Tamandua tetradactyla: one gene and its partners. The main gene of each other region encodes a partner of the protein of the gene in region 2 in a complex. Links are inferred from orthologs where the notes say so. Each region holds a gene or a part of one and is shown on either strand. Other genes may lie near its edges. The genes, in order: UBQLN2, ADRM1 and SEM1.

Evidence for each region.
Region 1: the proteins of ADRM1 (region 2) and UBQLN2 are in contact, whole or in part, in an NMR structure (PDB 2NBV), measured with the Homo sapiens proteins. The link is inferred for Tamandua tetradactyla from reciprocal best matches to the Homo sapiens genes ADRM1 and UBQLN2. Residues at the interface, in NP_008933.2 of Homo sapiens: Asp54, Ser55, Leu56, Asp72, Leu73, Ile74, Phe76, Pro77, Asp78, Asp79, Phe98, Lys99, Ala100, Gly101, Lys103; in NP_038472.2 of Homo sapiens: Lys38, Ile75, Phe76, Ala77, Gly78, Lys79, Ile80, Leu96, Thr97, His99, Val101, Lys103.
Region 3: ADRM1 (region 2) and SEM1 share a complex: the UniProt entries of both Homo sapiens proteins name them as parts of the 19S proteasome regulatory particle complex. The link is inferred for Tamandua tetradactyla from reciprocal best matches to the Homo sapiens genes ADRM1 and SEM1.

The regions. Positions count from the first base shown.
Region 1 is NC_135353.1:112,470,086-112,477,280, forward strand, and holds UBQLN2 (ubiquilin-2), read right to left. Parts: upstream 3,064-7,195; 5' UTR 3,049-3,063; coding exon 1,177-3,048; 3' UTR 35-1,176; downstream 1-34. UniProt on the Homo sapiens protein: Plays an important role in the regulation of different protein degradation mechanisms and pathways including ubiquitin-proteasome system (UPS), autophagy and the endoplasmic reticulum-associated protein degradation (ERAD) pathway.
Region 2 is NC_135327.1:59,869,071-59,876,692, reverse strand, and holds the start of ADRM1 (proteasomal ubiquitin receptor ADRM1), read right to left. Parts: upstream 3,055-7,622; 5' UTR 2,920-3,054; intron 2,823-2,919; exon of another isoform or gene 2,512-2,822; intron 2,459-2,511; exon of another isoform or gene 2,354-2,458; intron 2,072-2,353; 5' UTR 2,071-2,071; coding exon 1,858-2,070; intron 1,001-1,857; coding exon 884-1,000; intron 1-883. UniProt on the Homo sapiens protein: Component of the 26S proteasome, a multiprotein complex involved in the ATP-dependent degradation of ubiquitinated proteins.
Region 3 is NC_135327.1:119,113,585-119,121,014, reverse strand, and holds the start of SEM1 (26S proteasome complex subunit SEM1), read right to left. Parts: upstream 3,019-7,430; 5' UTR 2,890-3,018; coding exon 2,814-2,889; intron 1-2,813. UniProt on the Homo sapiens protein: Component of the 26S proteasome, a multiprotein complex involved in the ATP-dependent degradation of ubiquitinated proteins.

The DNA of each region.
Region 1 (7,195 bases), on a different chromosome or scaffold from region 2:
CCAAACATGATCTTAGGACCAGAAGGCAGAAAGAAAAGAATTATCCATTTTAATTAATTTTTTATTTTTTTTAGTCATTTTAATGTATTTTTCCCTGTGCACAAGAGAAATAGCTGATAAAGTCTAAAGATACAGTTTCCTTTATACATAACAGTTAAAAGTAGTTGAAACATCACATGACACTTTCAGTGAAAATTACATTTCCAATTACAAATCAAAATGCATTAGGGTCTGTCTCTTTATGAGAGAAACTGAGAAGGAAGCCTTAGGTAAAAAGCACTTTTCTCGCATAACTACATTGATCCTTCAGGCTGCACTAAGATTAAAGTCATTTACAGTCTATCTGCAAAAGTTAACACAATGGTACACTGTAAGTTTTCTGTACAATTAAATGTATACTTAGAGATAACCAGGATAAACATTTCTACTATATTTTAACTCAACTTGCCTAGCCAACATTTTCACTGAGTTTATCAAAGATGCTGTAAGATTCTACAAGATTCGGAGACATACCTAGCTTCAGAAATATTTCTTGTATTCTTTCTTATTTTGATTACATATATTCTGTTCACAGAGTCTATTGTAATTTATCCAGAAGATGTACAGTTCCAATTGTGCTTACTGTACCGTGTACAAACATAGCAAAAAGGTCAATGAGTGGTATCTTACAGCATTTTGCTAGCAAAAATTCATGCCAAAGTCACAATAAGCAATATTGTACCACAAATTAGAGAGCTTCAAATGATTTGCTTCTGTTTTTAATATCTTCATTCTACATTAAATTACTATCATAGGCTAATGCTTAAAATGCAAATAAACATCTGTAAGACAAAACTTATTCACTCAACTGTGAAGGTTGGTACCTGTTTCCAAAAATCACAATAAATGCAGAATAAAGAGAAGTGTTTGCATGCAACACCTTAGAGTGAAACAGCATTGATTCTCACCATTCAAAACAGAGGAGGGAAGGAGGGAAGGAGGGAGGGAGGGAAGGGAGAGAGGGAGGAAGGACTCCACCTTAAAATGCATCATATTAGATTTATAACTAGACAGATTTAAAAGAATCAAATAAACATAAAGCACGGGTTGTCGTTTTTTTTTTTTTTGCCTGTGTTAAAGATTTAAGAGCCATTATCAAAAATAAGATACATTTTTTTTCAAGGATCAGAAATGCAATTATGATGGCTGGGAGCTGAGCAGCCTCTCAATAGCTGCATTGATGTCGCCTCCTGTTGCTATTAAGGCCTGCAAGTTTGCTTCACGGTTTAAGAACCCCATTGCGTTGAGCTGTTCCAGTTGTTGCTGAAATCTGACTTCTGGATTCGGCAGCTGTGGAGGATTTGCTCCAGCTAGAGCCTGAACCATTTGCTGAATGAACTGCGGATTGGGTCCAGATTCTGACGTCGGACTCGTGGTTTCACTCGGTGCAGAACTAGACACGGTGGGCCCGGTGGGGCCGGTAGAACCGGCAGGGCCAGTAGGACCTGCAGGGCCAGTGGGTCCGATGGGCCCAATGGGCCCAATGGGGGTAAACGGGACAATGGGGCCTATGGGGCCTATGGGAGTGACTGGGCCTACAGGACCGATGGCGGTTCCCAGCACCCCCACCCCCACACCTGGAGTGAAGCTTGGAATGAGACCAGGTGCTTCTGTAGCTAATGTCTGTAGCCCCTGCTGGATCTGCATTAAAGCCTGCATTGCTCTGGGGTTTGACATGGCTGATAGTGTGTCTGAATTCTGCATCTGCTGCAGGAAGGCTGGGAGCTGAGGACGCATCTGCTCCTGCAGCTGAGGATTTCCTGTAAAGAGCGGGTTGTTCAGCATCATCTGTGCAGCCAGATCTGGATTCTGGCTCAGCGACTGCATCATGCTTCTCATGTAGGGTGCAGACAGCATATTCTGGATCAGTTGAGGGTTTTCAGTTATCTGTTGCAGCAGGCTCTGCATTCCAGGGGTACTGAAGACACTAGCAACATAATTGGCTGCAGCCAGGGTGTTTCCAGTAGCATTGCTAGAGCTACTGCCAGACCCACTGCCACTGCTGGTGGTTGTACTGGTGGTCGCAGAACTCTGTGTAGCCGGTGGTGGCGCCCATGGATTGGGCAGTGGATCTCGATTTTCTGTGCGGGAAGGCTGCGTACCTTCCCCAGAGGAACTGCTCCCCACCGAGGCAAACGGATTACCCCCAAACTGCTCTTGTGCGGCATTCAGCATCGGTTCTTGAATGTCAGTGTACATGCGCCTTAGAGCATTGTAGCCACCTGGGATACTTTCGAGATTGCTCAGAGCCAGGTCTTGATTTCTCATCATCTCTTGCATCATTGCTGGGTTCCTGGCGATTTCGAGGGTCTGCCTCATTATATCAGGGTTGTTGAGCAGGTGACTGATTTCTGGGTTTCTTTGAATCAACTGTTGCATCTGTGGATTGGCCATAATAAGCTGCCTCATCAGGTCGGGATTCGAAAGCATGCTCTGAACAAAGGGATTTTCCATTATTTGGATCATCATCTCAGGGCTGGACATGAGCTGCTGCTGCATTTGGCTCTGAAGCTCAGAAAAGCTAGTCGAGCTCAAGCCCAGGCTGCTAAGGCCTGCAAGACTTCCCAGGCTCCCCAATCCAAACGGGTTGCTATTTGTAGAAATCGGTGTGGAGTTACTCCTGGGAGTCGACGTCGTGGTAGTATTAGTTCCCGCGGCACTGCTAGGCTGCGTGGACTGGCCCTGGGGTCGGTTCTGGCTTTTGATGACAAGGTGAACAGTTAGTCCATCATGGATGCCGTGCTGGATCAAGGTATCTTGATCTTTCAAGATTTTTCCAGCAAAAATCAGCACTAGCTGATCGGTTTGGGACTTGAAGCGTTTCGAAATCGCTTCTTTAAACTGCTGGACCGAGCTATTCTCTGGCACCGCGAACTCCTCTTTCTCTTTGGGAGTCTTCACAGTGACTTTGATGATTTTGGGCTCGGCCGGGGCAGCGGCCGGGCCTTGGGCCGCAGCAGAGCCGCGGGAGGGGCGCGGAGGGCCGCTGCTCTCGCCGTTTTCAGCCATGGCGGCCGCGGTGACGCAGGCGGGCAGGGAAGGCGCGGGCGGGCGAGAGAACGAGGGAAGGAGGAAGGAAAGGGGCGCCGCCGCAACGGATAGGGCCGGGCCGGGCCGGGCAGGGAGCGCGGAACACGGTACCTCTGTAACGAACGTTGCCTCCTCCGGTTCCTGGTGCTCCGATGGTGAGAGAGCTCGACGTAAGCCTAGAGCCTAGGTCTCAGCGATCAGGGTTCCGGTCCGCCGCCAACGCCGCCAACGCCGCCGCCGCCGCCGCCGTGTGATGAAACCGCGAGCACTCCCAGCAACTCCCGCAGCCGCTCCGCCCGCTCCTCCACGCCCCTTCCCCTCCTCCCTCCCCTCCCCCAGCTCGGCGCCCGCCTCCCGGCTCCCCTTTCCTGACGCGGCGCCAAGCCCAGATTGATAGATTTGACTCCGAGGAAATTAGAAACTTCTGTACTGAAAAGAAAAGAGGGGAGAGAGAGAAAGAGAAAAAAAAAAAAATAGAGAAGGGAGGCAGGGAGGAGAAGGAGCGAGTCTCTGTATACGGCATTTAAAAATCCATGGAGAATATATGTTAGCAGTCTATAAGGCAGTGAAAAGGTGAAAAGCCTGAATCGAACCGATCCAGTGTAAAAGACGAAAAACGAATAATAACTCTGACAAAGCAAAAAGAAAAAAAGGAACACCCCCAATGGGGGAAGGGGAGACTACAGCACAAAAGCGAACATTTTTACAAAAGAAGTGCAAATGGCCAATAGGCAGATAAAAGGATGATCAATCTCGCTAGTAATGAAAAAAATTTCAAATTAAAACAATGAGATTCCACTTTTGGCCTACCTTGCTGGCAAATATGGAAAATAGTGATAAACCTTACCGTTGGCAGGGAGTTGGCAAAATGCATTCTCATGCTAGTTGAAGTGTGAATTACAATCATTCATTCTATAAAGCAATTTGAAAATATATACAAACATTTTAAATATTTCTACTTTTATTTAGAAATGCCTTATCCAGAGACCTCACCTGATAAAATCAGATAATTATGCAAAATATATATGTATAAAATATATATCACTGCAACATTTTAAAAGTAGCATTTTAAAAAGATAATCAGTGTTTGTTTACACAGATCGATCAAATACCTTATGCTATTACCAATAAAATAATATGCACTATGTTTAAAAATGTGTGGTTAATTTATATGGCATAAAAAAATCTTTAGGGCATACATTAATAAACATCAGTTGTAGGGAAGTAAGAGAATTTTGCTTTCTGCTTTATATATTTCCGTATAGTTTGGAATTTTACAAGTATGTACGCTTTAATACCAAAAACTTCAATGAAGATATTTTTATTTTAAAACTATTTTTTGAACAGTTTGTATAAGTAAACTGTATGTGTAAAAAATCTGGAACACTATATACCAATATATTAATGATGGCTACTGCTGAGTGCTGAAGTTATAATTCTTATTTTTTTAATAATGTTTTGAATTTCCTGATGATTTTTAAAAGTAAGCACTGCAGTCATAATTTTTTAAAAAGCAGTTATTTTTAGACAAGCATATACGTAGAGTTTGACATGACTAGTGGCAGTTATTAATATATTTACCTCATTCTTTTACAAATTAAGTAGGATAAATAGAGATGTAATGTTAAGAAAGAATACTTGAATAATACAATAAATTTCCAATTTATGGATAAATTTGTAAAGCTGGTTTACACCATCCAGAAAATTCTATTTTCCTTTAGTATCCAAGGAACATTTAACATCATTTGACAGTCATAGGCCACAATACTTTAATAAATCTCAAGATTAAGAGAAAATCAGGTACCTAAGGTCCATCAATAGGGGAATAGAGATTAATATATTATGACTAACATGATTAATGGAAAATACAAGGTAAAATGAATGACCTCAATCTAAATATATCAATATGTATAGATCTCAAAAAACTTAATTAGTACATGCAAAACAACATCTATAGTGTTTATAGATGCATTCATACATATTTGATGCACCAGTGGTTACACCCTGAGGAAGAGTAAATGGAATAAAACCCAGATAGTGATTAAAGGGAACTTGAATTCAATCCATAAAAAGGTATTTCGTTTTTTAATGGAAGCAAAATATCAGCAATAGCTAATTCTGGGTGGTGAGAATATGAATATTTGTTGTAATACTGTTTGTATTTTTGTGTATTCTTAAATTTCTCAAAAAAAAAGAAAAATAGGAAAACATCACAGGCCACCTTCTTTCATTCTAATAAACAAAGCTAATATGGATGAAAAACTCAACCACTTGAAAATTAAAACCAAACACTCTTGGAACAAAATGCAAATCCAAGTTCTTATTTAGAAAAATAACAATAATGAGAAAAATATATGTCACAATTAGGATAGGGTTTCCTTAAATGTGACCTGAAGCCCTTGCTAAAAATGCAAATTTCTAGACCTCACCCCAAACTTACTGAAATACTAGTGCCCAGGAATCTGAATTCTTAATAAGCTCCTGATTAAGAATATTTTATATACGTTATACTATGTGGATGAACTCAGAATCAGATTTATACACTCGAAGACCTTAAACACAAAAATGAAAATAAAAGAATTAGGCATTTATATAAAGAAGTTTAAAAATGTTCAACAGGAAAATAATGTGGAAAGCAGGGTGCCAGCTACAAAATGCAAAAAGCAATTAATAATGAATTAACACACAAAAATAAAATTCGTTAAATAAATCTAAGAGGTTCTTTGAAAAAACAAATCAATCAGATAAATCACTATTAGTTTAGTGATTCTCTTAGCTCACAATTCCCTCACCAAAGTACACAGAAAAGGAGGCTGGAACCCTCCCCAAAGATGTCCATAACAAGCACATTTCTTTGAATTCTCTTTTCTCTTATAAATCACATGCTTTTTTTGTGTGTTTTGTTTCAAAATACATCCATTTTAATGTTTCTAATGAGTTACAGTGAAATAAAATTAACATTCCGTAGTTGAACAAGCATGCCTTAACTAGTGAGATGCCCAATATTAGTTAGCTGAAACTTAAGCAAACAGTAGCAAGACAAACAAAACTGGGTTGCATGAGTAGATTAACCACAGATGAAGGAGAGATTTTTAAAAATTGTGAGGGAATACTTCATGCAAATGTCTGCTAATAACAAAGGCAAACCGATTTTTTCTAGGAAAATAACATGACCAAAATACATTGAAGAAGTAGAAAACCTGAACAGACCATGTAAAAAACATGAATGAAAATGAGCAAGTAGTTAAATAATTATCTGTTTAATAAATCAGCTTTCTTGTTCAAGGTGGTGACTGAGTTTGTGCATTTTCCACCCCTCCTTACCAAATTTCCACTGAAATGACAGAAACAACATAAGAAAAATAATGAACCATTAACAGTGTTGGAAAGACAGTCATCTGTGGCTCTTCATGTCAAATATTAAAATAAATTACAGGTGATAAATAAAATTATAAAATTTGCAGAAAAATACTAGGTTAAATAACAAAAAAAAAACCCATAAATGAAAAGATTGATGAGTTTGGTTAAATAAGAATTTGAAACGTGTATATGTCAAAAATACAATAGAAACTTTTAATGTTAAACTTTTAATCTTTAAAGTTAGAGGCAAAATAAAAAATTGCAACATATATAAAATATGAAGTCTTAATATCCTTTACATACACACAATTTTACAAATCTATTTAAATTAATGAAAACCCCAAGGGAAAAAAATAGATAAAGGACATGAGCTAGTATCTTACAAAAGGAAAAACAAAGGCAAAGAGGAAGAAGAAAAGGGTAGAACAGAGGAAGAAAGCAAAGAAGGGAGGGAGAAGGAAAGGGAAAGAGGGAGGGAGGGAAGAGAAAGAAGAAAAAGGGAAAATATCTTCTTTAAATTAAAAAACAATACAAATTAAAATAAATGAAACATTTTCTTCTGTCTATAGAGTTAATGACTGATATAATATCCAATCTTGACATAGTAGATCCAGACTACTTAGATTCAAATCCTTGTTTCATCACTTCTACTTATTAGTTATATAACATTGGGCACATAATCTCTGTCCCTCAGTATTCTTCATCTGTGAAATGAAGGGCTGTTTTAACAATCAAATAAATTAGCATACGTTAATCACTTAGAACA
Region 2 (7,622 bases):
TAAAGTTTTATCAGAACAGGTTACGCTCATTCATTGACACAGCATCCATGCTGTTTCCATGCTACCAGATAGAGTAAGCATGAGACAGGAAACCATTTCTTCTCTGGCCCTCAAAGAAAGGGACCCAGCACTACCCAGCTGTGGGAGGAGGACAGCTGGGTCAGCCTCTGGGGAGGGGATGTGGCCACACCAGCCAAAACCACAAAAACACATCCACCCTGGGCATAAAGCAGGCCCACTGCTAGACATTAACGCACAGGTTATGCTCACACACAGGAAGTAACGTGTGTTTAAGAATATTTGCAACATGGCCTGTGGCAGCAAAAGAAATGAAACAAGCTCAAAGGCCACCAGTCAGGGGTAGAACTGATGCTGGTGTATTCAGTGGAATTCTCTACAGCTGTGGGGAGCAAGGCCGCCTTTGTGTGCTGACACGCAAGCACCTCCAAAACACCCCACGCAGGGAGAAAGCAGGCTCAGAGGGGTGTGGAGATGGTGCTCCCTTCTCTAAGTGCAGTGGGGAGTGGGACACAGTCGACTTCTGCTTCTCTGCTCTGGGGTGTCTTCGGGAACCTGTGAGGTGGGCAGTGGGTTACGAAAGGAGGGCAAAGTGCCCCCCAGATGCCAGAGGTGCATCCTAGCTGAAATCACTCATGTCTGCCTGCTGGGAAACCCAACTCTGCAAATCGGGGGTGCCGCAGGGCCCAGCCACCAGTCCCCAGGCCCTGGGATGGGACATTCCCCTCCACGACTCTTGATGCAAGTTAATACACTGAAATTTGTGCTCATTTGGTCCACACCAACCGGTCTGTCAAAGCAGATTCTACCATACAGGGTACAAAAGCAAGAAGAGACAAAACACGAGAAAAAACTTTCCACATACCTGCATCCAAAAGAAGAGCCGTTTGGACCCTGCCTTAAACTTCAGCACATAGACCCTCCCACTAGGACACTGCGGAACCCGCTTAAACTCACAGTCATCGGGGAAGATGATCAGGTCCTATGGAGCAAGGAGGGAAGAGCAGTGAGCAGGCGATGCCTGCACCTCAACAGCTCCAACACAGGCTGGGCCCTGGGCTGGTGGATGTGGGGGCAGAGAGCAGGAAGCCCCCAAGTCCCTCACCAGCGGATCCCACAGGGCGGGTCAGCCAGGTCAGAGGCAGCAGGAAGGGCAGAGCGAGGAGGAAGGTGGGAAGGAGGGCGGGTCCAGCCACTCACAGGGCCTGCAATGGGGACTAGGGAAGGCGGGTTTTCAGATCCTGAAGTTTTTAACAGAGATGCTGTGAGGACAATGCTATTGTTACTACCCTTTTTCAACCCCCCCCCCTTTTTTTTTAACTTAAGGAATTCTACTTTTAAATGTTTCTGGTATCCATATCATTTAGTTTTATACACAACTAGATCAACTGCTCCCAGACACATGCTCTCAAAATAACCCACTCTCAAATGGAAAAGGAACAATTTAGTCTGAAGAACGAGCAACACTAAATAAAGTGGCTACTGGAGAAAGCCTTCTTGAGGATAATAATAAAAGTCAAGCCAGTAACGTGGCTCCTCTAGTCCCGGGCACCTGACATTAAAGTTTCAGGGACCTACAGCGCAGGGAGACGTCCATTTAATCAAGACAAGGAAGAGCCGTAAACAAAGCAAATGGCCCATGAGGTGTCAAACCAACCCCCACCCCAATACCACCACCACCAACTGCGAAGCCACAAAAATCATTCTGAACTGTCAAACAGCCAGTGCTGTGCTCAGAGTACGTAGAGATGGCAGCAACACTTTCTTTTAGAAAACTACTGTTCTGAGGAGAGTTCACTGGGCTTTCTTAGGATGAAGCGTCAGCTTACGGCTACTTACATCTTCCACGTTCCCTGATGTCCTGTCTTTCCAGCAGAAGTGAATGAGGGAATCATCGGTCTGCTGAATGTACACAAGCCCTTTCCGTTTATCCGGGGTGACGGTAGTTCCTTTTAGTGACATTTTTCCTGCCCGAAACTCCACCAAATACTTGGTGGAGGATCCACGAGAGCCTGGCACCAGGCTAGGAAACAGGGCACCAGACGTCGTCATCCTGCAAAGAAAGAAACCAGCACTTAGACCCAGGGGGCATCTTGTGTGTTCGTTAGCACCAAAATTCTCCATTTCCTCCTCAAACGTCACAGCTGGCCCAGCTCTGAAACACCCTACTTCTGTGCTGGGGCTGTGAAGACCCCCGAGGACAGCTGCCCTGCTGGCCTCCCCGCCTGATCTAAGCAAAACTTCCTCAGGGTTAGGGGCCAGGAGCTCTAAGAGTACAACTGAGTCAAGTAAGAGGGCCAGACTTGAGCTTCTGTACGCGCAACATGGATACCACCTCTGTCCATATGGCTCTGAGCCTCGAACTGAGTAAGTCTTGTTTTGTGTCCTGAGCTCCCAAGAATTTTAAGAACTCGAGCGGAGGTGGCCAAAATACAGACATGAAATCCAAGGCGGGGCTTTGGGTTCAAACAACTAATTTGTCTTAACACGCGCCTGCTAAACTGCAACCCCACGGCGTCTTTCCCCTTAAAAAAGAGAAGCCGGCCACTCTGGGAAGTCAGGGCAGGCTCTGACTTGCTGGTCACCGGGAAGGGCACTCCGCCGGCCTCCGCCAAGCCCGGTCCGGAAGGCAGGGGCTCCCCGCCGCGAGCCCACCCTCCGCACCCCAAGCCAAGCAGGACGCCCGGCCACTGAAGGCCCGGGGCCGCTAACTGGAATCCCCGGGGAAGAGTGGGTTTGGAGGGGGCGGCCCTGCCGCTCGGGCCCCCAGCCCAGGGCACGCCGGCCTCGGGCCTTCCCGGGTGGACTCGGGGGCCAACGGACGGCCTCCCACGGAGCCAGCGGGCGGCGCAGACCCCGTCCGCTGCCCCACCCCTCACCGCCCCGGGCCGGCAGTAGCACCTAGCCTGCGCGGAGACTGCCGAGCTGCGCGGGACGGCTTCTCTCTTCCTCGTCCGCGGCGGCGGGGCCCCGCCGGAAGTGCCCGTTCTCCCCGCCCACACGCCGCTCTGCCAGCCGATTGGGCGTCCTCGGCGGAGCACCTGGCCATGACCCACCAGCGATTGGTGCAAGCGGCCGTTCATCGGCGCATCCCGCCCCCGGCGCCGGAGGAAGCGCGGCCGCGCCGGGCGGGCAGAGCGGCCCCCATTGTTGCTGTGTCATCGGGGAGCGGCGGCGGCCCCTACTGGCGGCGCCGGGAAGCGCGCGGCTGGGTGGAGGGTGGCGCGCCGGGGTCTAAGGAGCTGCGGCATCTGGGGCCGCAGCCGAGAGCTGCTCGTGGGACGTGGGACGTGGGCGAGGCAGGGTCAGTGCCACGTCCCTGAATTAACTGACACCAGTTGCAGCGAAGGCGGCGGGGAGCGCCCTGGGAGCGTGGCCGCCCGCGTGAGGGACTCCCGGGCCCCGCGGAGCAGCTCCGGGCGTGGAGGGCCTGGACGGGCTCCCCGCGGGTCGCTTGCAGCTGTCATCTGGTCGGACAGGCCAGAGGTTGGCAAAAATGTTAAGCCGCGCTCTGGCTCTCACTGCTGACTTTTCCTACCACTCCACCGTCTTCTGGATGGGCACTTATTCCAGTTTTTCACTATTAGAATGCTTCAACTGAAAAAAAATTTAATTGATTTAAGGATTCACTGAATTTTTTGTTTTAGAAAATATAGCTATTTTTTCATTAAAAAGATCATTTGTTAAATGTGGGTTTTTAACTGTTGCTTTTAAATTAATATTTTAAACTTTCATTTTAATATCTATTAAGGTAAATACCAATACATAAAACCTTCATAAACAAAAAGCTCATTGGTAGAGAAGGGACACCAAACAGATTGGGAATGGCTGGCGGAAGTGCAGGTGCAGATGCTGGTGAGTGGACCCTGCTCCTGCCAGTTGGGTGACCCGTGCCGTGCCCCTGTGGAAAAAAGTCGAAAAAACTGAGGGCATTCGATTTAACTTCCCAGAAAGGAGGCCACTGGCAAGTGTCATTTGTTCAAACTCAAGGAAATTTAAGGACTGCCCTGGAGAACACAAGAGACCAAATTAGCAGCACCCCAAGGCAGTGCTTCCCTTGGGGGCAGTGGCCTCAGAGGGGCCCCTAAATGTGGCATTTTTTGTTCACGCTAGGGGAGCCTTGTGTCCCGAGCTGACTCAAAACACAAACAAAAGACACGAAAGTCTTTGCACAACAATTTCTTTGAAAGCTCTACAGTCAGGAAACACGCTTCGGGGGCAGGCATGTGGACGCCTCTCTTGTCACCTCTGCCCCTCTGCCTGCTCTGCTCATTGTGTGCACTGCCTGAAGGGCCCTGGGAGAGGCCAGTGCCTGCCAGCAGCCCCCGCCGCAGAGGTGGCCCCCGGCGCGTCCTTAGTCCAGCCTGACTGAGCAGGGCTGCCTGGGCGGCTGGCAGGAAACAAGAGGAGACAGGTCAAGGTCAGCTAGGGCCTGGCACTCCAGAAACAGCAGTTGTCATTTTTATAATTGATCGTTGATTTATCCAAGGTAGTGGACAACACCTGCAACATGTCTTTAGCTTCTAGAAAAACAAAACAGCACCTCCAAGATGTGTATTCAGCTAAGGGGTTTGGGCTAACTAAGCAGATCCCCTAAAGGAAACAGTCTCTATAGCCTTGTTTTGGGGGTGGGTGGAGGGAAGCACAAACAAACCCAACAGCTGGACCCGAGCTGAGGCCCTTAGATGAAAGGTGGCTGTCCCTCGGATGGCATTTAAAAGTGGACAGAAGACATGAACAGACGTTTCACAGAGGAGGACAGACAGATGGCAAATAGCACATGAAAAGATGCTCAACATCATTAGTCATAAAGGAAATGCAAATTAAAACACGCCTATTAGAATGGCTAAAAGGCAAACAAAGGAAAAACAAAGGGAACGGTCCTGGCAGTACCAAGTGCTGGGAGTTCGGGGTGGTGCTGGGAAGACAAGACATTTAAATGCACGCACTCGATGATGCAGCCGTTCCACGCCCAGGTGTCTACAGCCAAGAGACAGGGACGGCCTGTGTACATGTCTGAGGTGACATTTTTTCCCACTTGCCCATGCTCCAGAAAGAAGCCAGCCTGGAGGGAGCGGCAGAGCTGCAGGACAAAAGCTGATCAGTGGTTGCTGGGGCTGACTACAAAGGGGCACGGGGGAAATTTTTGGGGTGCGGGCAATGGTTGAGTCTTGACTGTGGTGGCACTTACAAGACAGGAAGGATGTGTTTGTCAAAACTCCCCTGACTTGACCGCCCAGCTAAAGGTGAACTCCCCGACTCCAGATGCGAGGCCCTGGCAAGTCCACCTCCAGCACCTCCTTTGTCTCCTCTGGGAACCAGGCTGGGCGGTCACTTTGGGGAGACCGTGACACCAGTCCCAGAGCCCGGCAGGACTGCACGGTGGGAACTCTGGGAGGCACTGGCTGTACGTCTTCCCAGAGCCCAAACACGGCAGCCCAGGGACAGCAGGCAGCCGTCGGGGCTGTGGAGGGCAGACACCCAGCAGTGGGAAGCTGCAGTCAGGCCAGCACAAGCCCTGGATGCCTAGGGCTTCGGGACAGGCCCCGATCCCTGGGAAAGGGCTAGTTAACCCGAACTTCCCACCGCTCAGAGAACCCAGGACTCCTAGTCCACCAACTGTAGCCATCCAACTGTGTTGTGAGTGGTCCTTCATCCCCCTCTGGGTCCAGCATTTTCCAGAAACCATCCATTTTCTGGGCTGATCCCAAAGAACAGATGGTTCAAGGACCTGATATCTGGGAACAAGAGCTTATCTGCGGCAGATTTGCAGCCCTCTCCCAAAACGCAAGAGTGGCTGAGACAATGAAAAATTGTTTGAGAAAGAAATATCAATATATAACCCATTTTCAAAGAACTTTTATTCAGAGCTAGAATTTTTTATCTCCACAGACATGTACACAGTCTTCAAAAAAATATCTAAGAATGACTGATTCTGTTAGTACAAATGGGTACTGAGGGCTATCAAGTAATATAGAAATAAGCCCATTTCACGAATGTCTTTTCTTGCCCATGTTCTCACACTATACTGACAGACAAACTCAGTGTGGCAAAGGACCAGCCAAACACCCAGGAACGGGCAGCCCGAGGAGTCCCTGGGACAGGCACAGAGTGGGTGGGGACAGCTGGACACGTGTGTCGTGTCCACCCTCCACAGGGTCAAGTCCGCAGCACTAAGGATCTGACTCACAACAAAAAGGCCACATGGCAGTTGGTTAAGGACAGGCTGCTGTCCAGCAAACGTCGAACCAAGAAAGGCCTCAAAGTTTGGCTTCACTTTGCAAATATCTCACACTGAGAATGTAGATGACGGCAGGACAGGTCCCCGGAGAGGCTCACGAAGGTGTGTGGCCCAAGGCTAGTGATTTTCAAGATCTCCTCTGTACCTAAGTCGGATGTAGGGAAGTTCTTTGGAAGCTAATGTTGAGACAGGAAGAAACTAGGCTTAGTAGAAACTGACGGTTGCACTCTTCCCTGCTTCAATCGTTCTGTGTGGATACAACTCTTCACTACCATGCAAACCCAAGCGTGAAGCAGGGCAGGGCGCTCAGTGCTTCTGAACACTTGAACACTATTAAAAGCCTCACTCTGTTCTTCATTTCACGGAGGCCTGTAACGCTTGTGCCAGGTAGAAATCCTACCCAGAGAGCAGTGTCCTTGAGGGAAGCTCCCTGCTGCTTGCTCACCTGCATCCTACTAGTGGCCCAGCTTAGTGTTCAGAGGACCCAGCAAGCACAGGCCACCACCCCACAACTATGGCCAGCGGTGCTCTTGGCTCAAGGCCCCAGGGCCCATCCAAGCTGCGCTTAGCTCCTTCTCCAGTGGCCACAACTAGAGAGCTATTCTCCCCACTGCAGCCTCGCTGGCAGCTCGTGGCTCTCATTTTTAAACAGGCAGAACTGTGAGCTGAAAGAAGGCAGTGGCCCCAAAGTAAACGAGCGCCCCTCAGAGAGTCCCTGCTCTGGCCTGCAGCCTGAGGGCCTGCCCATTCCTTCATGGAAGGCTCCAGAAACTCCCTCCTGAGCATTCATGTCTATAAGGAAGCAGAGGTCCCTTTGGGCACCTTCCTCATCAAAGGCCCATCACGGTTCTGGTTTCCAGGGCAGGCTGGAGTGGCAAAGTCCCATGATGCCCATAAAGGGCTCAGAGCCTGCCTTTCTGCTCCCTTCTGGCTTTGGGGAGCTTCAACACAGTCGGGGGAGCCCCGGTCCGGATGGAGAGCCCACAGCCCAGACAGGGAGCCCACAGGCAGACAGAGCAGAAGGAGGACAGCCTACACTCCTCCCTGCCACCCTCCGCAGCCCTGGGAGCACCACAGCACGTTTCTCTTTCACATACAGTGGACTTTAAGGGTGTCTGTCTTTTTGTCCTTAAACCTCCAGGGCCCTTGATACCTGTGCATTAAATCAATGAACGCATAACTGAGTCCTAAATTCAATTAGGAACAAAATTTAAAAATACAAAGCTCTGTTGAGAAACAAAATTTCTCATGAGGCGGTTCCAAGTTAAAGGCTACTTTTAAAATAGCACATGGGTCCTTCTATTGAGGTCAGCACTCAGCACGCAAATGTGTAGCCAACAAAAGGGCAGGCGCCCCCCCCCCC
Region 3 (7,430 bases), about 59 Mb from region 2:
AGCAGGACATTTAAAATCCTTAACCTCTATTCACTAAATGCTGGTAGTTACTTCACACTCCCACCCACAGAGTAAACGGACACCCAAATAAATTCTCCGAGTTAAAAACCAGTATAAGATAACATACTTCTTTGTGAGGGAAAAGGGAGAGTGCCTCTGTTATTACAGAATGCTGAACAGCATTAGGGAGCCATCAGCTTTTTGTCTTTCTCAACAGACACAGTCTCATCAATAACCACAGGAGTTATCCAATGTGGGTAGGGAGATGGGTAATAATCCTGCTCCTGATTTCTTCAAACTACCCAGCAGTTTCATTGGCTATAAAAAAATAAAAAATAAAAATTATAGAATACCTATTAGCATTCTCTTGCAAATACCATTACTTCTGAAGGCAAATTCAATTACATTTTAAATATTCTTAAGATTTTTCCATAACGCAACAAGAACAACTTCCAGTTCCTTTATAAAATAAAAGTTCTCGTTCCCTAAAAGGACTAAATTAACATCCCACCAAAGAAGTTCTTATCTAGGATGAGATGGAGGGACAACACTGCCAAAAGGCAGACAATTCGCTGGTCAAATTAGGGACACACAATTTCAGTAATAACCAGTAATGGCTTTCATGTGGCAGGCTCTATTCTGCAAACTCCCTTAGACAGGAACAGCGTCCATTCTGTGTAGGACCTGAAACTCATCAGGGCCTTTAAAAGTAAGATTTCCTAAAGGTCAGTAGTATTAAGATGGTTAGAGGCATGCTTAACAACGGTAATTTCATTTTTTATCTGCTAGTAAGTTTGTTAATGGCAAATTTACCAGAAAGACAATCACACACACACACACAAATACCCAAAGGGAAAGCACTTGAAAGTAATTAATAATTGAACCAAAAACTCAAAACTGAAAGACTCAAAATAAGCCAATGTTTTAAAAAGCAGCCCCTCTCAATTTTAATTCCCAAATCTCTTGGGAATCTTAGTCAAGTCGAGACTGATTCAATAGGTCTAAAGTGAGGGCAAGATGCTGCATTCTAACAGGCTCCCAGGTAGTATCAAGGCTGCTGGTCCATGGATCATATTTTCAGTAACAAGGACAACTCAACATGATTAGGCCAAAAATATAAGAAATACACAGTCTCAAAGATAAATTATTCCTTAGTAACACTTTTCCAAGTTGCCTGTTATTTATCAGAGCAGTTTATATTAGTTAGTAAATATTTAGTAATTTCACCCAGCCAGCTAACTTTGTTTCCAGCAAAATCTCACTAATTCAAATTAGCATGTTAGGAAAACCTATTCGAACTATAAACCAGAGAAGAAAACTACTTGAATAAAAGCCATTGTTGTTTCTCAAGAATGAATTAGGTACCACTTCAAACTTAAAAACAAATATTCTGTAAGGTAACCAATAAATGGTGAGTTACTTAATACTACAAACCAGTCTACCATGAGATGCCTTTGTCTTTTGAGAAAATATTTTAAGCATCTTTGCTTTTCCTCTTCATTTTAGATGGAGTCTTTTACTAAGTAACTAGCAACTAGCAAAAATTTGCTGCTCACCACATAAACTTAGAACACGAACAAACTACACAAAGTAAAAACAGATGAAATACAAGTTGCTGAAACAAATCAAATGTACATGAAGTTTGACTAAGAAGTGAATCCTGCCCTCAGTGAGTCACTTTTCTACTACATAGCTCAGTGTTTGGGGATTATCAATCAACTTGAAAAGAGAGTTAAAAAAAAACCTTGACTGGATAAATCAACCAACAAAAAAAATACAAAAACCAAACAACGCTCACGACATATAATGAACTCCAGAATTCAAAAGAAATGTGCTTTAGGTTAGTCTGAATTCCTCTAGCATTCATACTAATGTTCTCTTCCACTAAACAAAACAGAGCACAAGATAAATAAAATAAATGCTTCAGCTTATACCTTTAAGCACAATAGGAACATGATGGGGTACAATCTAGGACAATTTTAGTGAAGCATTAACTGCTTAATAAAACAGATGTGTATACCATTAATCACTCTTCTTTCTACCAACCACCTTCAGAAAAGCTACCTAAAGCTACCTAATAGTTAATTTCAGTTCCATCATTTCTAGCCAGTTGAATAAAACTGGCAAGTTTCTCAACCATTCCAAGCTTCTGTTTCTTTAGCTGAAAAGTTGTAATACCAGTACCCAAGTGCCTGTCAACATAGTAACCACTCAATAAGTATTACTATTTATGATTATAAATGATAGTTATGTGGTATTAACTTCACTGAGAAAACTAAAGGTCCTCCTGGCAACCATGGAAGTAAACTTAAAGTTAGTTCGAAACTAAGTGACCAAAAATGATGAACAAGCGTAAGGCAATACGTGAATTAAACAACACGGTCCTACGTAACAGGCTTCACTTTGCAACATCTTAGCATAACCAGGAAACAATTTAATTTTGGAAAGAAACGAAAGCTTCTTTAGCAACGAAAGCTGCTAAAACAAGGGAAAATAAAACAGACATGAACGTGGTGGAAGATAATCTAGTTTAAGTGTAAAAGAGCCATGTCGGACAGTGCTGGGAGCCCGGGGTCGCCATGCCTCCTCCCAAAGGAGAAGCCGTTTGACCTCGCCCGTGACTCCCACGGTGACAGCCGGGAGCCGAAGGCAGGGACGCGGAGGGTCGGGCGTCCAGGGCCTTACGAGAGCGCTGCGGAGAGCCAGACTTCTCGCCGGGGCCCCAGAGTCGGGCCCGAGCGGACACGCCGCTTCCACTCGGAGGCCTGAGTCACTGTCCGCGGGCACAGAGGCCGAAGGGCTCGGCCAGTTACCTTCGGCAGGGAACTCCTCGAACTCGTCGTCCTCCTCTAGGAGACCCAAGTCTACCGGCTGTTTTTTCTCTGACATCACGACTCTCCGCACCCAAAGCGAGGCCAGAAAGGAGAAAGGAAGCCTCACTCTTCCTTACAGCAATCTTCGCACAGCGACCGTCTCCGAGGCCGGCGCTACCATAGAGACGCCAGGGCAGAGCTACGGAACAGAGCGGTGAATGCTGGGATACTGAGGTCCGCCCAGCGCTTCCTGAGGGTTTAGCGGTCGTTCAGAGTTAGTGGGTTATTTGCGTCTTCACCATTTTAAGTGGACACTTTTAATTGTCGAATTTGTGTTCACTGTAGGTTTCCCTGACTGGGAAAGATACATAATATGCAGAAAAATTAAACACTTTTACTTGGTTTACAGTTGAGACAGGAAATCTAAAGAGGTAGACTGCATAAAGATCTAGTTTACTTATATTCATAAAAGGCCCACCAAGTGCCAATCCCTTAACATTCCTTTCCTCCAGTCCTTAAACCAGTTACTAGGCATGAGATTAAGTATCTCCACATCACCGAAAATTCAGGTTCAGGAAAGAACAGCAAAAGTCACTCAGGTAGTGTTAGAGAATGTATATATGCATATATATTTGCCTGCCTTCCATACTTGTCCATTATGCTTTTTCCTCTGTCTGGGAATTACTGTGTGGTGAATAACATGTTAACAAGAGTTTCTCTCTCCTTTTAGATAGATCGATCGATAGATAGATAGAGAGAAACTCTTAACAGAATATTATAAAATAATACTGTTAAAATGGATATTTGTAACATGTATTCAAAATATGTCATTTTGCATTCATGTTGATTATCATTTTGAATATAGTGGCAAACGATATGGAACTCTATATGTAATATATATGGATATGCAATATGGATGAACGCAGATGAATATTTTGGATCATATATAAATATACATATAATTGACTATAATTGTAAATTTAGATACATGTGTTTGTGTATTTAAAACCCATTCCTTCATTCAAAACATTAGTTCACACCACATACCAGGTCCTGTGCTAGAAATCAAACATGTAACATAAAGTCCTTCCCCTCATATTTCACTCAGAGACATGTAAACAGATAAATCACAATGAAACATGGTAATTTATTTGAATCTCCATTTTAAAATAAAATTATGTGGGGAATTATTTGAACAGGAGTACAGAGAATAGAGCAACTAAAGAGAAAACAAATTTGGATCCACAATTAGGTGTAATTTTTAAAAAGCCCCTATAATAGTACTTTGATCTGAAATGCTTACTGAAAATATTGGTGGTCTTAAAACTAGGCTGAAATAGATGTAATTTGGCATGTTATATAAATAAATACCAAATTAATAAAAGAAGAGAAAAATGAGCAAAATAAAAAATTCTAAGTACATTTTAAAAGTATGTATTATAATCCTGCATATTAAAGTAGTTTGTATGGTAGCATTTGCTCACTTGATGAGGTCCCTTAGAGTCACATATTCCTTATCATCCCCATGTTACTGGGAACCACACACCAAGGTGAAGCTTTGGGTAGGCAGCTTGACTTAGGCAGCAAAGAATAAAAAGAAAATCACATGTGCGCACAACTATGTGATGATACTGTGAGCCAGTAATTGTGTAATTCAGATGGTTTGTATAGTGTGTGAATATAGCTCAAAAAAATTGTATTTTTTTTTAAAAAAGCAAATTACAGAATTGAGACAGCCATTTTGTACAGTTAAAGATTTGCCCATAGAATCAATTAGGAAATTCAAATTCTAGTTCTTGGATTTATTATTCTCTTCATCTGTTACATGATGAAGTTTGAGTCATCAGTCCTTAGCAAAGGGAAAACTCAACAGCAATATTGTGATTTTTCCCTCTAAAACTTTATTAATCCAATTTAAATGAATAAATGCAAAACCAATAATATCAGTTACCCATTCTTTTTTTTTTGCTTGGGCAGGCACCAGTGATCGAATCTAGGTCTCCGGCATGGCAGGCAAAAACTCTGCCTGCTGAGCCACAGTTGCCCACCCTACCCATTCTTTTTTAAAGAAAATTTTACTGCTACATGAAATCGGAAGACTGGGAACTGAGAAATAACTTTTCATTTTAGTTGTCATGGTACATGGCACAGTGAGCAACTTCTCATTTTAATGGTCATGGCACATGGAAAATTTTTGAGAAATGAAAGTTATTAAAGTGTTAGAGGCATTATTGCTTAATTAAATTAAGCACATATGAATGTATATTTGATGAATCAGGATATCAATCCTGGATAAATTCTTTGTAAACAGTGGACTTAGGCAAATTACTTAATTTCTCTGAAATGCATTTGAGTCATTTCCACAATTATAGTGGAAATTAAATGAGGTCATGTATATAAAATACATGGTCAATACCTGACACATAATTAACAATCAATACATATGAGCTATTATTAAAGAAAGGACTTAAATTTTAAAATATCTCAGCCTCCAATATTAGTCAGGGTTCTCTAGAGAAACAGAACCGAAAGGAGATTTCTGTAAATATGAGATTTTATTAAAATAGCCCATGCAACTGCAGGGATGCACAAGTCCAAATTCTGTAGGGCAGGTTGCAAGCTGCCAACTCTGCTGGTTTTCAGTGAATTCTGAAGTAGAGAAAGAGAGGTTCTCTCTTCTGACTTCTTCTTTGGATTATATGTCAACCAACTGTATTAAATGTCTCTCATTGCTGAAGAAACTCTCCTTAGTTGAGTATGGATTTAATCAGTCATAGATGCAATCAACTTACTGATGATTTAAGTCCATGAAACGTCTTCGCAGTAATGGTTTGCTTGACCAGACAACAGGGCACCATTACCTGGTCAAGTTGACACATAAACCTAACCATCACAGTCCACCCCTTGTCAATTTGGCAGCTATACACATCACTTTAAGCCATGCTTAATATCTAAATAAAAAACAATAACAGACATAGTTTTCACTTATTAATATTCAATTGTCTTGTATACAACCAGAAATGGACAAACTCTCTGCAGAATAGGGTGCAAGTCCTTGGGTAATATTCACTCTTAAACTTATTTCAACTTAAATACTATGACATGAATAATAAAACTTATGTCATATGATAGGGGATAAGATAGAAAAGAAAACATAGATATTTCCTTATGTACCAATACAAATGTGCTCATAACAAAATGAAGAAATATTCATACCATTACAGTCCTCATTCTTGTAACTGATCATGTGGTTATAGTTCATATTTAACACTACCTTATTCTACTACCCATTCCATGTTCCTTTACCCTCAGCAAGAACCTTAGCTGGCCATGGTTCTTTGCCTGGTGGGGTGACCCAAATCTTCATTCCTGAAGTTTCTGGGCCATTAATAGTCCTACCTGGATTGGGTTGTTGCAGTTTTCCAATGATGTTAATCACAGGGCATGGTAGTACTAAGAGATGTCCTAGTGGATCTCCTGTGTTCCAGGAAAACTCTTCTTTACCTCCACTATGTAGTTGCAGTCCTATTTCCCCTTGATAGTCAGGATCAATCATCTCAGCCATTGTAGTAATTCCTTTCTTGGCCTGTTGATTCAGAACAAGAGAAGCCCAAAGTGGCCAGATAGCAGTCTTAACTTACAGTTCAGTGGGATCATTGTTGTGTCTCCTGGAGGAAGCACTCCTCCTTTTGGAACTAAGACCTGTAGACCAGCAAAGCTTAAGATTGCAGGGACAGGAAGCAAAAATTTTTCTAGTGGAACTCTAGGAGTGACAGTGAGTGGTGCTATAAATACTGGCTATGAGAAAAACAGCACCATAGAGTAGACACTAATTGAGGGCATACACAGCCTCCTGGAAAACACTGTCCCAGCCCTGCAAGGTATTACCACCTAACTGGGGTGGTAATAGAGTCTTCAAAAGGCCATTCCACCATTCTTTCAATCCAGCTGCTTCAGAATGATGGGGAACACGGTAAATCCAGAGAATCCATCTGAAATGAAGTGTGCCCATTTCCATACCTCATTTCCATGAAATGCATTCCTTGATCAGAAGCAATGCTATGTGGAATACCATGATAGTGGATAAGGCATTCTATAAGTCCACAGATGGTAGTGTTGGCAAAAGCATTGCATGCAGGGAAGGCAAACCCATATCTGCAGTATATGTCTATTCCAGTTACAACAAATTCCTGCCCCTTCCATGATGGAAGTGGGTCAAATGTAATCAACCTGCCACATGGTAGCAGGCAGATCACCTTGGGCAATGGTGTCATATAAGGGACTGAGTATGGGTTTCTGCTGCTGGCAGATTGGGCACTCAGTATTAGCTATAGCCAGGTTAGCCTTGGTGAGTGGAATTCTATTTTGCTGAGCCCATGCATAACCTCCATCCCTACCACCATGACCACTTTGTTCATGAGTTCATTGGGCAATGATAGGAGTGGCTGGGGGGAAGAGGCTGACTGGTATCCATAGAACAGGTCATCTTATCCATTTGATTATTAAAAGCCTTTCTCTGCTGAAGTCACTGTCTGGTGACCATTCACAGGGGACACAAATACCTTGATGTTTTTTGCACACTCAGAAAGGTCTATCTACATACCTCTTCCCCAGACC